Mus musculus: one gene and its partner. The main gene of each other region encodes a partner of the protein of the gene in region 2 in a complex. Links are inferred from orthologs where the notes say so. Each region holds a gene or a part of one and is shown on either strand. Other genes may lie near its edges.

Evidence for each region. The genes of interacting proteins can lie anywhere in the genome.
Region 1: the proteins of Cenpa (region 2) and Ntmt1 are in contact, whole or in part, in a crystal structure (PDB 5CVD), measured with the Homo sapiens proteins. The link is inferred for Mus musculus from reciprocal best matches to the Homo sapiens genes CENPA and NTMT1. Residues at the interface, in NP_001800.1 of Homo sapiens: Gly2, Pro3, Arg4, Arg5, Arg6, Ser7; in NP_001273725.1 of Homo sapiens: Tyr19, Trp20, Met30, Leu31, Gly32, Tyr34, Ile37, Trp136, Asn168, Ile175, Asp177, Asp180, Asp212, Glu213, Ile214, Tyr215.

The regions. Positions count from the first base shown.
Region 1 is NC_000068.7:30,804,641-30,812,048, reverse strand, and holds the start of Ntmt1 (N-terminal Xaa-Pro-Lys N-methyltransferase 1), read right to left. Parts: upstream 4,082-7,408; 5' UTR 3,966-4,081; exon of another isoform or gene 3,684-3,965; intron 1-3,683. UniProt on the Homo sapiens protein: Distributive alpha-N-methyltransferase that methylates the N-terminus of target proteins containing the N-terminal motif [Ala/Gly/Pro/Ser]-Pro-Lys when the initiator Met is cleaved.
Region 2 is NC_000071.6:30,663,380-30,670,729, reverse strand, and holds the start of Cenpa (histone H3-like centromeric protein A), read right to left. Parts: upstream 3,845-7,350; 5' UTR 3,702-3,844; coding exon 3,617-3,701; intron 1,732-3,616; exon of another isoform or gene 1,678-1,731; intron 1,039-1,677; exon of another isoform or gene 909-1,038; coding exon of another isoform or gene 902-908; intron 356-901; coding exon of another isoform or gene 320-355; intron 1-319. UniProt on the Homo sapiens protein: Histone H3-like nucleosomal protein that is specifically found in centromeric nucleosomes. Replaces conventional H3 in the nucleosome core of centromeric chromatin that serves as an assembly site for the inner kinetochore.

The DNA of each region.
Region 1 (7,408 bases), on a different chromosome or scaffold from region 2:
GGAGGGAGGGAGGGAGGGAGGGAGGGAGGATGGGTTGGTTTAACCAGGCAGAGAAGGCTCTTTCACTAGGGTCTCACAGGTGGTTAGCTAGGCCACCTGGTCCAGGTGGCCTGGTTTTTCACAGACAATGTCCTTCACTCTATAGTCATTGGTTCCTTCCTTAGGCTATCCCACACCGAAGGTGACCCAGTCATCTCTTCAGAAGACAGACATCTTTTTCTTTACATGAAGTCCTTATCTGGCTGCTAATTTACAGATCTCCTTGAAATGATCTAACGTAAGACTCAAGGGGGTGGAGCTGCTTTGGCCCATTTCTAGAATCAAGACAATTACAAATAGAGAGAGAGAGACACAAAAGATCAATTCACACAGAAATGTACTGGGACAGCACATGAAAATTCAGAATGAAGGCCTGTCCCAAGAGTGGGTTCCGACCTGCCCCGTTCTGTCAGAACCACCAGTGGGATCAAGTCCCTTTCAGGTGGGACCCTCAAGTCTACTTCAAGTGGGTCACAATGACGAGGGTTCCACTGGTGTCTGCCTGAACCACCTGTGGCCTCTAGTAATTGGCTTAAGCTACTGACAAACTCAGACTGTCTGGACATACAGGAACACAGACAACTGGGACACAGAGTACTCATGTACCAGCCAGTGGTCAAACATTCAATGTGACAAGGGTGTCAGGGGTGCTTCCTGGCCCACGCACCAAAAATGTTAAGTCTAAAAGTGCTGCTCGGAGACCACCACTCACATATGCGATTGGCAAGTGTTTTTATTTCAAGAAAGCAAGAAGTCTGCATGCAGAGATAGGCCATACCAGACAAAGGTGTGCAGGCCATTTTATAGGGAACTAGGGAATTTTGGCTAGGGTTAGGTAATCTAAAATTTCCCTGGTGGGTGCCAGGGGATGTTACATGGGTCAGTTTCTGATTTGCTTGTGTCCAGGTGGTCAGTGGACTATACTGAGTCTAACCACAGAATCAGAGATACCCACACCATCTAAGGCTGCCCAGCACAGCATCCTGAGATATGGTACTTCCCCATCCTTTTGGTTCTCTCCAGGCTGTTCTTTGCATGGGGTATTTTATGGTCTGTTCCTGGAGCTGGTGAATTATGGCCTAGTTCCTGGGACTGATGACTTAGGGGCGTGTATGGCTAGTTCCAAGAACAGAGCCTTCCCTTTTGAAGTCAGGCCTGGTCCTACAATGAGATCATCCTCTCAACAGTAGGGTAGGCCGGATCGGAGCCTGGCTCTGCTTACCAGCTGTGCAAGCTCAGATAGGGCCCTTAGCGGGTACAGTGTGTTCCATGCCTATATCGCTAGCACTCAGGAGGCTGAGGCAAGAGGATCAGGAGATCAAAACCAGCCTGATTCAAGAAACCAAACACAGTTCAGTTGGCAGTGTTTGCCTAAGATGCACAAAAGCCTGGGTTCAAGCCTCAGGACCCCCAAAACTGAACATGGTGCGCACGCCTGTAATCCCAGCACTTCAAAGGCTGAAGCAGGTAGGTCAGGAGTTCAAAATCATCCTTGGCTACAAAGTGACTTTGAGGCTAGCCTAGACTACATGAAATATTGTATCAAAAAATAAAAGAAGAAACAACTTGGGCTGCAGATCCAGGGCCCTCACCTCCACCTCTCAAAATAAATGACTAAATAACAAGCAAGATACTCTGCTATAAATTATTCTTAATATAAATATAAACGGCAAATTTAAATGGCCTGTATTTCTTTACCTTATGCTAGTCCCCAATAACTACACAAGAAAGCCAAGATTTATTTAAGTCCGCATCTCAATAACTGAACAATCAGATGGTCTCCCTTAGCCTTCTATGGTAATCTAGCCACCTCCCAGACACAGCCCGTGTGAGCTCTCTCCAGACCCTTTCTTCATAGCTCCAAATTCCCCATCCTCCCTGATGATCTCCGAATCTCCCTCTCCTATCTCCTTCCTCTGGTTGGCAGATGAACGGCCCTCTTCCCTATTCTGCCCAGGTATTGGTGAGATCAGCATTGACAAAACAGAGAATAAATGGTAAAAAAAAAAACTGTTTACATAGACTTAAGACCAGAGATTCTTATCCACATCTAAAAAAAGATAACTAAGGCAGAGAAATCAGCATTTGAATTACACAGCGTATAAACACAGTCTGCCTACCCATTGTGCCTGTCCTCCTCTTTTCACTCTGAGACCATGGCTGGTCTGAAACTCACCCTGAACTTCATAGAGAAGCTGTAGTTATTAAACAAGCCTGAGAAGCCCCAGGCTCCACTGTGGAAGGCACATACTCTCTTGAGCGTACAGTTCTCCACTGTCAGAGACGTTTGGTGAGATGGTTCAGCTGTTAGAGCGAGCACTGCCTGCTCTTCTCAGCATCTCACAGTGGAAAAGCTCCAAACCAGCAATCACTGCGGTTCCTGGTGATCTGATGCCTTCCCTTTGCCTTCCTGGGCCCTGCCCCCATAGACAGATAATCAAATATAAAAATAATTTAAAAAAAAAAAGCCTTAAACACGGAGGCTGGAGACAAGCTCCAGTCAAGAACACCAGCTGCTCTTCCAGAGGTCCTGAGTTCAATTCCCAGCAACCACATGGTAGCTCACAACCATCTGTAATGGGATCTGATGCCCTCTTCTGGAGTGTCTGAAGACATCAAAAGTATACTTGCATACATATAACAAATTTTTTTTTTTTTTTTTTTTGGTTTTTTGAGACAGAATTTCTCTGTGTAGCCCTGGCTGTCCTGGAACTCACTCTGTAGACCAGGCTGGCCTTGAACTCAGAAATCCGCCTGCCTCTGCCTCCCAAGTGCTGGGATTAAAGGTGTGCAGCACCACTGCCCGGCAATAAATAAATCTTTAAAAAAAATCTTAAAACACAATTTTTCTCTCTGTCTTTCTGTCTGGTTTTTGAAATAGGGTTTCTCTGTGTAGCCTTGACTGTCCTAGAACTCATTCTGTAGACCAGGTTGGCCTCAAACCCAGAGATCCACCTGCCTCTGCCTCCTGGATGCTGGGATTAGAGGCGTGTGCCACCTCTGCCTAGTTCAAACATAGTTAAAAAGATCAAGTAAGGAAAACGTGTTAAAACCTCCAAATCACACAGACCCTGGTAAAGCTGGAGCCCACCTATGAGATCATGTGGCCTTTGGTCAGTCCAGAAGATGCAAACACAAGCTCCGGGTACACCCAGAACCACACACCTGCAGACTCTGACCTTTTGATTATGTGGCTCTGGCCTTCAGGAAAGCATCCCCCCTCCCCCCAACACACACACAAGCACACACACAGGAAAGCCAGCTTAAGGAAACGATGTGCCTTAAAACAGCACTTGGGAAAGGACCAAAAGTTAGGAGAGGATTTAGGCTTCTCACTTAGACCCCAGTCACTGAGTGCCCCACCCCATACATCATTGTCATCAGTTACAGCACCTGTCCTAGGCCCTTATCAAAAGGATTAAAGACCAAAATGATCACACAGTTGGTGGAGCAGCAAAGCCTGGAGCATCTGGAAAAGATGGCAGGCAGCCTTGCAGAAGAGAGGCTGACCTTGGCCTCAAGGGCTCATGACAGTAACGATGTTGGCCAGAGCTGGAGGCAGTTAAACGTGATGGCAACCCGTGCAACCAAGCACTTAACTGCGAGGACTTGAGCCAAGCACGGCGCCGATTCCACACACCAACCTTGCAGTGGCTGCTTTCCTTATCTCAGAGGGGAAACTGAGGACTGGAAAGTGATGTACGGGCGCGAGTGAAGATACGTCTTGCCAGCCTCCACCAACGTGGCTTCCTCCAACCCAATCCGTGGTCACCAGAGTCCCTGCCCAGGTCTGATCGGTGAACCTCCATGGGACGTGCACGTGGGCCAGGGCCAGGCCCAGGTCACTTGACGACGGGGCCTCACCGCTTCAGGCAGTTGGGGTGAGCACCTCCCTCCTCCCTGGCCGCGTCCCTCGCGATACTTACCTGGGTCGGGGCTCCAGGGACCCGAGAGAAAAGGACGGGTTGAGAAGGAGGCTGGCAAAGACCGTAGCCCACAGCAGCCGCCACCACTCTACCGGACCAGACACCTCGCGGCCTCTGCCTTTGTCCGCACACGTCACTTCCCCGAGCCTGGAGGGGGCTGGACTCAAGATCGCTCCGCCCCGAGGCCAGTTCACTCCGCCCCAAGACTAGCTCATCCCTCTCCACAGACAGATAGCCCCTCCCCAGGGCCAGATCGCCGCGTCCCACAGGCAGCTCACGTCCAGATCGTCCCTCCCCCACAGCCAACTCCGCCCTCTCCAGGGCCTGCTCACACCTCTCCACGCCCCCACAGCCAACCCCGCTCCACGGCCTGCTCACTCGACACGCCCAGAACTTCTCTCCGCGCGACTAACTCGCCCCTCCCCACGCCCAGCTCGCCCAAACACAAGACCAGCTAGTTCCGCCCCACGGCCAATTCGCCCCTCCCCATCGCTACCTCGCTTGTCCCCGAGGCCAGTTCACCCCGCCCCCTGGCCAGATCGCCGCACTCCAAGGTTTGATCGCCCTATTCTTCGGCCAGATCGCCTTTTCCTTCGGGATCCTAACCCAGTTTTTTGCCTACGCGCAGGGACTTCATGATGAAGGATCCACAGCTGATATCTCACACACTTGAGGGTGTAGCTCTTTTAAGACAAGAGTCCAACTGAGTTCTGGCCGTAAACTTCAGGATCCTTCTGCATCATCGACGTGGTTGCTGGGGTTACAGGCACGCGCCTCCATGCGCCACAAGGCTGGATTCTTAAAAACCAACATCATGAGAGTTTTCCACCCTAAAAGGAGAATTAAGCCGGGCGTTGTTGGCGCACGCCTTTAATCTCAGCACTCGGGAGGCAGAGGCAGGCGGATTTCGAGGCCAACCTGGTCTACAAAGTGAGTTCCAGGACAGCCAGGGCTATACAGAGAAACCCTGTCGGGGGGGGGGGGGGAGGAGGATTAAAAGCCATTGTTGCTCAAATCCACCCATGCCCACTAGTATATTAAAATAATATATCAACCCAGGAAAGAGAACAGGAAAGAAAGGCTTTGACAGAGGTAAGGATTGCCAGGCCAAATAAAGCAGAAATCTAGAAGTTTGCCCTCCTGAGGACCGCCCTTCCCTATCCACTCAGACAATCTGCACCGGGTCTTGAAGGAAAGATGAGCTTGCTGCATGCAAACCCCCTCTAACCGCCTCGGAGTTCTAAGTTGCCTCTTCTAACTGGTGGATGTAATGATTCAGCTACAATACTCTGAGGGTTAAATTTGTGGGATTTGCGAGTTTAGGCTAGAGTCTAGTGGGGCTTGCAGGCAATGAAGGTTATCATAATAAGTATTTTTGCCTTAAGCTCACCTCTGTTGGCTGACACACCGGCTGTTAGACATACTTGTCATGCCTCCTGGGCTCTGCATTACAGTAGGTGCTTAAAGTTGTGTTTTGCTTTTACTTATTCTTTTTTTTTTTTTTTTCCTTTTCTGGATCAGTGCCTTGCTAGGTAACCCAGGATGGCCTGAAACTCACAGTGATCCTCCTGCCTTTGAAATGCTGGGATTGAAAGAATGCACTACCACACCTAATGTGTATTTACACATTAATACTGAAAGCAATAGAGGCTTAGGAGGCGGAAAAATCCTACCCCCAATTGAGTCCCCACCCCAAATCTGTGCACCTAATAGTTGATAGCTACTCTGGGTTATTCTAGGTATTACCTGGTTTCAATAGTTCAAAGAGCTATTCACCACCCCAAAGTGGTGAATACTTGTAATCCCAGCACCTGGGAAGTGGAGGCCGGAAGACAAGGAATTAAAGGTTATCTTTTGCCGCACAATGAACTTAACACCAGCCTACACTACCAGAGACCTAGTCTCAAAAACAAAAGCCAAGGAGCTGAAAAGATGACTTGTGACTCAGCAGTTAAGAGTGCTTGTTGGGGCTTTAGAGATGGCTCAGTGGTTGAGGGCACTGGCTGCTCTTCCAAAGAACCTATATTCAAATCCCAGCAACCACATGGCAGCTCACAACTGTCTGTAACTCAAAGATCTCACACCCTCACACAGACATATGTGCAGGCAAAATGCCAAAGCACATGAACATAAAAACAAAAATAAATTATCTTAAGAAAGGAAGGAAGGAAAGAAGGAAGAGTGCTTCCTGCTTTTACAGAGAACTAGAATTCTGTTCCCAGGCAATCTGACCCCTTCTGGACTCAAAAGACACCTGCACGTATGTATGCATGCACACATGCTTATGCACACAGAGATAAGTAAAAAGTAAAATTTCCTTTAAAATGCAAGTTTGGTCTGGTGTGGTGACTCACACCTTTAATCCCAGCACTCAGGGGGCAGGGGCAGGAGGATCTCTGTGAGCTCAAGCCCTGCCTAATCTATAGAATGAGTTCCAGGACAGCCAAAGCTACACAGTGAGACATGGTCTCAAAAAAGCCAAAATTATTAATAATAAGAAGGAGAAGGAAGAGGAGGAGGAGGCTTGAGGAAACTGTTCACAAAAGCTGGCTCAGCCCTTAAGAGTACAAACTGCTCTTCCAGAAGATCTGAGCTCAGTCCCTAGCGCACATGTTGGGTGTCTTTACAACCCCTGTAACTCCAGCTCCAGCGGATCCTGCTAAGGCCTGGGTAACTGCTGCCCGTCTAGCCAGATATTTTATGCTGTTATTACTGCTATAAAGAAAACTTCTCATGTGTTGTTTCTAGGAATCTTTCTCATTCCCAAGTTGATTGCATATTCTGGTATGTCCTGAGCTTTGGTACTATTAAAAACCAGTCAGTTTGAACAGCTTTGTACAGCTAGCCACAATAAGCTTGGACCTAAATCAACCACCCAGCAGCACTTCCTGCATCTATGTATAAACGTTTATGGGTTTTGCTTTTATAAGCTGCCCCTGGGATGGACCCCGACATAAGAGAGACGCCTGCACCAATATAAGAAGCTACTTGGAATAAGACTTCCATTTTGAGTAGGGGTGAGTAAAGTTCCTGAGACCTCCCTGGGAACTGACATCTTACTTGGCAGAAAGAGTCCTGTACATGGGTAAATGATATCCTGGTTGGCAAGTTAAGACATGAATGTCAGGCAAGGTAAGTCACCAGCACAGTTAAACACCCCGACAAATGAGGACAGGATAAATGTACAGCAAAGACGTGCTCCTAAGGAAGTTCCCTATTCCTAAATCCTGACTGATGAAATAACTTGGCACAAACATTCATGGATTTCATGCTTAAAAGCTCTGTAGGATTCTGGCTTGGGGTCACAGTCAGCTCCTGAGTCTGGTTTGAGGCCCCGATCGATCCATCAGTCCTGTGATGAATACTCAATTAACTATCCCTACCTGACTGAGATCAGTGTTTGTGTGGTTTGTGGGGTGACTCCTGGACCCCAACAGATCCAG
Region 2 (7,350 bases):
CTGTCTTGGAACTCACTCTGTAGACCAGGCTGGCCTCAAAATCCACCTGCCTCTGTCTCCCAAGTGCTTGGATTAAAGGCATGTGCCACCACTGCCCAGCTTATAAAAATAAATCTTAAAAACACAAAGATAGCTGAGTTAAATTCAACTCAAGTGTTAGTTATTGAGATAAACAAGACATTAAATACAGTAGTGATACTGAAAATGAAATAAGTAAGTAGTATAACTGTCAATAAATATAAGTAATTGACTGATTAAAATGATTATGTCTAAAACAAAACAGAAGCACACACAAGGAACTGGCCGGAGGAACACTTGCCTTGTACACACAAGGCCCTGCGTTCAATCCTTAGTCCTGCAAAACAGGAACACGTAGCTTTAGCTAGGTTATTTAAAGCCCAGCCAATTCGATCCCAAGCAGTGAGGAACACTGCAAGGAAAATGGAAGAAGGGAGACGGGACCAGTGCAGGGGCGGCCTGTGCCAGGCAGGAGGTGGAGACTTAACCACCGGTGAGGTCAGGATGATAAAGCAAAGACACAGAGCAGTGTGTAGGAGACTGGAGACACTGAAGACAGAGAGGCAGAGCAGTGTGTAGAGACTGGAGACACTGAAGACAGAGAGGCAGAGCAGTGTGTAGAGACTGGAGACACTGAAGACAGAGAGGCAGAGCAGTGTGTAGGAGACTGGAGACACTGAAGACAGAGAGGCAGAGCAGTGTGTAGAGACTGGAGACACTGAAGACAGAGAGGCAGAGCAGTGTGTAGAGACTGGAGACACTGGAGACACTGAAGACGGAGAGGGAGGACCCTGCTCGACTTTGGTTGTTGTTGCTGTGATAAACACCACCTCCAAGACCTACCTGGAGAGGGAAGGGTTGATTTGGCTTATATGTCACTCACCGTCCATCAGCAGAAGCCAGGGCAGGAGCTCAAGGCAGGAATCTGGAGGCAGAATCCTTGGAGGAATGCTGCTTACGGCCTGCTCCCCTATCTTTAAATCCAGATAGGAGGTGGTGGGCTACAGTGGACTTGGCCCTCTGACAAAGATAAGCAATTAAAAAAAAATGCTTAACAGACATGGCCACAGGCCAGCCAGTTTGATAGAAGTAATTGCTCAGTTGAAGTTCCTCCTTCCTGGGTTTGTATCAGGCTGTCAACTGAAGCTAGCTATGATGGGCCATAACTAAAAGATAAACTACAAATGGCTGCCTCCTCCCCACCCCACCATTTTCGAGATCTGGGCTTTTGGGGGCTAGAGGGTGATGTTAACAGGTACACACTCACAGAAAATGAAGGCAACACAACTAGAGACCACCAAAGAATGTGACTAACACCAGAAGGAAAAGGAGCCAAAACCAAGAATCAAAATAAACTATACTCAAGGAGTTTGAATAGCGAGAGAACTGAATGCCGTGCCGTGTGCGATCCATCGCTGAGAGGCAGAGGTAGGAACCTCCACTGGGCTACATGGAGAGAACTTATTCTCTCCCAGAAAAGAAAGATTTTGAGAAATAGAAGAGGAAGAGAACTCCAAGACTCATGATACACAAACAGGTGTTTATGAAACGGAAGTGATCAGAGATGACCTGGAAAGAACTGCATTCAAACACCCTGAGGCTGGGTCTCAAAGGTCAACGTTAGCAGGTGGGAGCCCGAGAATTTCAAGCAGGACTTACACACTAAAGCTCTCTCCAGTCAGGCCCACAGGCCCTCACCTACAGTTCCAACACCTGGAATACAGAGACAGGGTGTCCTGAGCTCAGGGTTAGCCTGGGACACATGGATGTCACTGTCACACACCTAAAATGGTTTTATTTTATTCTATGTGTATGTGTATCTGTTTTGCCTATGTGCATGTCTGTGTGTGTGCAGTACCTGCAGAGGCCAGAAGGATCCCCTGGAAATGGAGTTACAGATGGCCGTGAGCTGTTATGTAGCAAGAACAACACAAAGTCCCTTACAGCACAAAAGGGAGATATGTCTAAGGGCCCACATAAAAGAAGGGTTGGTTGACTTGGGAAAGGAGGGGGCACCTAGCAAGGCCTGAGGCTGAATGGAGAGGAAGGAGGGGGGAATAAAAAGCACCAAATGGCTGGAAGAACAAGGTCAGCAGACAAGGGCAGTAGGAGAGCCAAGAAGTGGGCGCAGCTGATGTAAAACTTTTCCCTAAGATAAGAGTAATGGAAGGTTGCTTCTACACTGGAAGTCCACATCGAACATCAGCTCTGGTCGAGCGGTACAACCATGACCACATTATTCCCTTAGGGGCTCACCATACCTCAATGAGAAATAGAATGTGGTGGTGCATGCCTTTAATCCAAGCACCAGAGAAGCAGAAGCAGGCATGTAAATCTAATTCTAAGTCCTTCCTTACCCCCCTTTTTATTAACAAGCTGCTGGCATTAAGCTAGGTAGGTTCTGAGATATTCTTTTTTTTTTTTTTTGAGGCAGGGTTTCTCTGTATAGCTCTGGCTGTCCTGGAACTCACTTTGTAGACCAGGCTGGCCTCGAACTCAGAAATCCGCCTGCCTCTGCCTCCCGAGTGCTGGGATTAAAGGCGTGCGCCACCGCGCCCGGCGGTTCTGAGATATTCTAACCCGGCTAGGCTGCTGTTACCAGGCTATATGACCCATTATTTGCCATCTGATCTTGCCCTGGCTCTCTCTGGTCCATGTGGGTCCTCATGGCTGCTCTCTTATCCAGACCTCATGAGTAATCCTTCTTCACCCACATGGTCTCTCCATCTCTTCTTCTCACCTGGTCTCTTCAGGACCCTCTGATTGGGAACAGAAGTCCCACTCTTCTTTCTTCTGCCCAGCCAATTGGTTGATCAGCTCATTAACCAATCAGAGGTGATGGAAAACAGTTTTTACATCACATTGAGGCAGTGTCTGGATTGTAACCAGATCTCAGAAATAGTTCCTGAATACACACTGCATACAACCATCCCCAACACAGGCAGAGATCTGTGAGCTCTAGGCTAGCCTAGTCTACATAGCACGTTTCAGGTCAGCAAGCCAAGGCTACACACCGATACATACCGAGTTCCCGTCTTAAAAAAAAAAGGGTCGGGGAGAGGGTTGGGGATATAGTTCTGTAGTAGAACCCTTGCCTAACATACACGGAGTCCTGGGTTCCATCTCTAGTGCTGCAAATAAATAATAAAGAGTAGGAGTTAGAAAGCTGGTTCAGCTGTTAATAGCCCAGGCTGCTCTTCCAGGGGGGCCGAGTTCTCTTCCTAGCACTCTAAAAAAAAGGGCAGCTCACAACTGTAACTCCGGCCCCGGGGTTCCGACGCTCTCTTCTGGCCGTCGCCAGAGCACGAACACAAAATAAATGCAAAATACATGCAAAGTAAATAAATGCAAAAAAAGACCCCGTGTCCGTCAGAATGAGTTTGTCTTTGCTCCAACTCCTTGTCTTGTCTGCATTTCGTTTTTCTCCCTGCTGTAAACCGGTCAGGAACAAACAAGCAAACAAACAAACAAATAAACAAAAAAACCATTACCCCTACGCGAGGTTAGCGGCAAGCCGTGACCAGGAACCGTCCCTCTACAGGCCCGGCCCCACAGGATGACCGCACCGGCCTCGGAGGTGCAGGGCAGGCTCGCTTACCTACACTGGAGCTCTGTCGCGAGGGTCCAGGCGCCGGGCTGGAGGGTCTCCTCCTTGGGGTCTGCGGTTTGCGACGCGGGCCCATGGCTGGCCTCGAGGGGCCGGGTCCCGCCGCCTTCCCTAAGCCTTCTTGGTCCTGCTGCCGAAACCGAACGCGAGCAAGCCCAAGGTGCGCGTCAGGACCGCCAGAACTCGGTCGCCAGCAGTTCAAAAAATCACCCGCCCCTCCCACCGCATCTTTTAAATCCCAACTTTGTGACTCTCAGTGGCTGGTTCTGGAAAGCCAGCGTGGAGCGACATCCAGATAAACCAATGAGAATAAAGGTCTGAAGCCAATGGGTACTTGAAGACGGGAAGGAAGGCAGGATTTCCCCACCCTTTTCCTGTTGATCTCTTTTTCAGATGCCCTCTGGGCAGGACGGCTCAGTTCTTACGTGGGTGGTGGGTTTGTAGAGCTCACTTCCTCAAAAGTTTTATGCTTTTCTATCAAACGTTGAGGTGGCTTTAAAAATACGGAAACAGATGCCCAAGAATGTGACAGCTCCACACAGCACCCGTGACACTCCTGAAAGCAACCAGCAAATATGATTCAGAAGCCTGGTTAACTGCATGACCTTTTCAGAAGATAGGGTCGTGGGGACAGCCAGGACGGAGGAATCTGAGGACAAGGTCCAGGCAGGGCAGGCGCCAGCACTATTATTGGACCATGCTATCAAACACAATGACAGAATTGCCTGAGAAAAAAACCGGCTTTTCCTTTTCTCCCGGGAGTAATATGAATTCAGGTCATGGCTCCGTAATTAGAATAAAGAGAATTTCGTCATTTTGCTTTTTTGAGTTTTCTAAATGATCTATCATGAACGTGTACTCTAATCAGGAAAATACTTATATAATCAGTGGTTTCATAGAAGCCTGGTGGAACATTGGGGTGGGTGGTGTAAAATGGCACAGCTGCTATGGAAATGTGTCATGGTTCGAATCTGAAATGTCCTCCAAAAGTTTGGTGTCCTCTGTGCAGCAGTGTTCAGAGGTTGGGCCACAGGTGCTCTGACTTCATCTGTGTATTCCTTTAATCCCAGCACTTGGGAAGTAAAAGCAGGTTTGTTATAAGGACAGGGCCAGTAGACCTACATAGTGAGTTCCAGACTAGTCAGAGCTATGAGCAAGATTTTATCTTATTTATTTTATTTTATTTTTGTCTCAAATAAACAAAAGACCAACAACCAACTCGTTCAATCTCCAGTATTTTACCAACAGACATGAAATTTAAACATAGAATTACTATATGATCCAGAAGTCCATATATATATATATGAAGACATCAGGATCCTCAGCAACTGTTAATTAGTCAGATAATATCCGTGTATGAAGTCTGCTCTAGACAGATAGCCCTTTAGTAAACTAGAAGGAGAAAGCTAGATTGAGGACAGACTCTACGATTCATAAGAAACTGATGATACTACCTATATAACTGTAATGGTGTGTGGGTTAAGGCATAAGAGGAGGGTAGTGCTTATTAACGTACGTAGTTTTGCATATTTTGGCTTTTGAACCAATCGGACTGTTGTACTGCAAGTGGGGGTGGGGCACCGGAAGAACGCAGGGCAAAATCCGAAATGAAGATCCACAGCTTGTATCTTCCTTCACCAGGCCGGAAGGGGAAACAGTGGAAGTCTGGGCCAGATGCTGTGATTTGTGGTTTCTTCTTTGGGTACCTGGCTGTCACTGGTGTACTGCCAGGAGTCAGGAATGGGGGTCCAAGATTTTACCCCCCTCCAACATCTGGGCATGCCAGGTGGAGAGGTCGAGGCAGAGCCCAGGATGAGTGAAACCTGGTCTGACTGGGAGTGAGGGCAGAGCGTGCTGGAAGAACTGGAGAGGAGAAGACCTTGCTCAGGGGTCTTAGGCGCAGCTCTTTAGTCAAAGGCCTTCTTCACCTCGTTTCTGAATGAAACAACTTTCTGAGACAATCTTTGCTTGCTCCTATTGCTTTATTTAATGATGGATGTGAATGCATATACTTTATTTGGGGTGAACCAGGGATTATATACCTCTTGTGGGAAGGAATATCTAGGAAGGGGCGCTCATTGGCTGAAGGCTCAGGGCTATCTAGATATCTCATTAGCATGGAGAAGAACTATAGATGTTGTGCTGGGTGACTCAGTGCCTGAGGTCTTCAGTGGAGTATCATGGTTATGTGTTCCAGAGCAGGTAGGCATGGCTCCACTTCTACCAGCCTGAGATCTCTCAGATTCCTGGGATCTGAGCTCACTCAACCATTCTAGTTCTTATGTCTGTCTGGTAACACGGTCCCACATGCCGTATATTAAACTACTAATTTTTTAAAAATACATCGAATGAAAACATATTGGGCTGAAGAAGTCACGTTGAACACTAGATGTCTCTGAGCTATGGACGAGTTGACTGGAACAAGAGTTGTAACATGTAGATCATAGAAACCCTCAGCAGCCGGGCATGGTGGCGCACGCCTTTAATCTTAGCACTCGGGAGGCAAAGGCAGGCAGATTTCTGAGTTCGAGGCCAGCCTGGTCTAGAGAGTGAGTTCCAGGACAGCCAGGGCTACACAGAGAAACCCTGTCTCAAAAAACAAACAACCAAAAAAAAAAAAAAAAGAAAAGAAAAGAAAGAAAGAAAGAAAAGAAACCCTCAGAACCAACAGGGAAGTTCAGCATAGGAGAAAGGGGAGAAATTAGTTGTGCCAGCATGTCAGACAAGAGACTCTAATCAGGGTCAGGGTCAGGATTAGGGTTAGACCAGGGTCTGGGTCAAACCCTAACCCTAACCCTGACCCTGACCCTGTCTAACCCTGACCCTGACCTTGGTCTAACCCAGTTTTTTTGTTTGTTTTTGTTTTGTCATAGGAATGAGCAGGTGAGTTGGGATTTGAACCCGGTACTTAGCAATGGCCTCTACCCTCTGTTACCACACCATTGCTTCTTGTGGAGCTTTCATTTTCTCTTTACTGAAGAGTGAGATGGCGCAAGTGCACACATCTGAGGCCCTGGCTACTCTAGAGTCAGACAGGAAGATCATTCTGGCTTAGGATGTGCTTGGCTGATTTGGTACTAACATGGTGACCTGGGAGTTGGGAACCACCAGAAGAGATACAGTCTGGCTTGAGCAATACAGTGGGAAGTGGGGAGAAAGGGAGGGAGAAGAGAAGTGTTCATCTGACTCAGGGAGCTATGCGATTGAGGCCCCCCACACTCAGCTTGAATTCTCCCCCCTCCTCCTCTTCCTCCTCTTCTTCCTCCTCCTCTTCCTGCTGTTCTTCTACATTTTCTACATAATTCAATAGAGATCTGGCATGAGAAATGTCAATCCTGATGGGCATGGTTGTCATGGTGGTCATCTCACCTACTTGGGAGGCTGAGGAAACAGACCTAAAATGTAAGGATTGCCTAAGCTACAGGGCAAGCCCAAGGCTGGTCTGGGCAACTTTGAAAGACCCTGCATGAAAATCAAAAGTAAAAAGAGAGACAGCAATATAGATCACTGTTAGAGGGCTTGCCTAGCAAGCACGAGGCCTCTTGGGTTCAGTCAACTTTAGGGCCACTTTCATGATCAGAACACATAGTCCCCACTTGGACTCTCATTGGCTCAGGGGCATGGCTTGAGTGTGGGCCTTACACAAGCTTTTCTGTAAGCTTGGATCCTAGCTTCCTGTTTGCTGGCTCTGTGACTTTGGAGACTTTCTTGACTGCCATAAACGG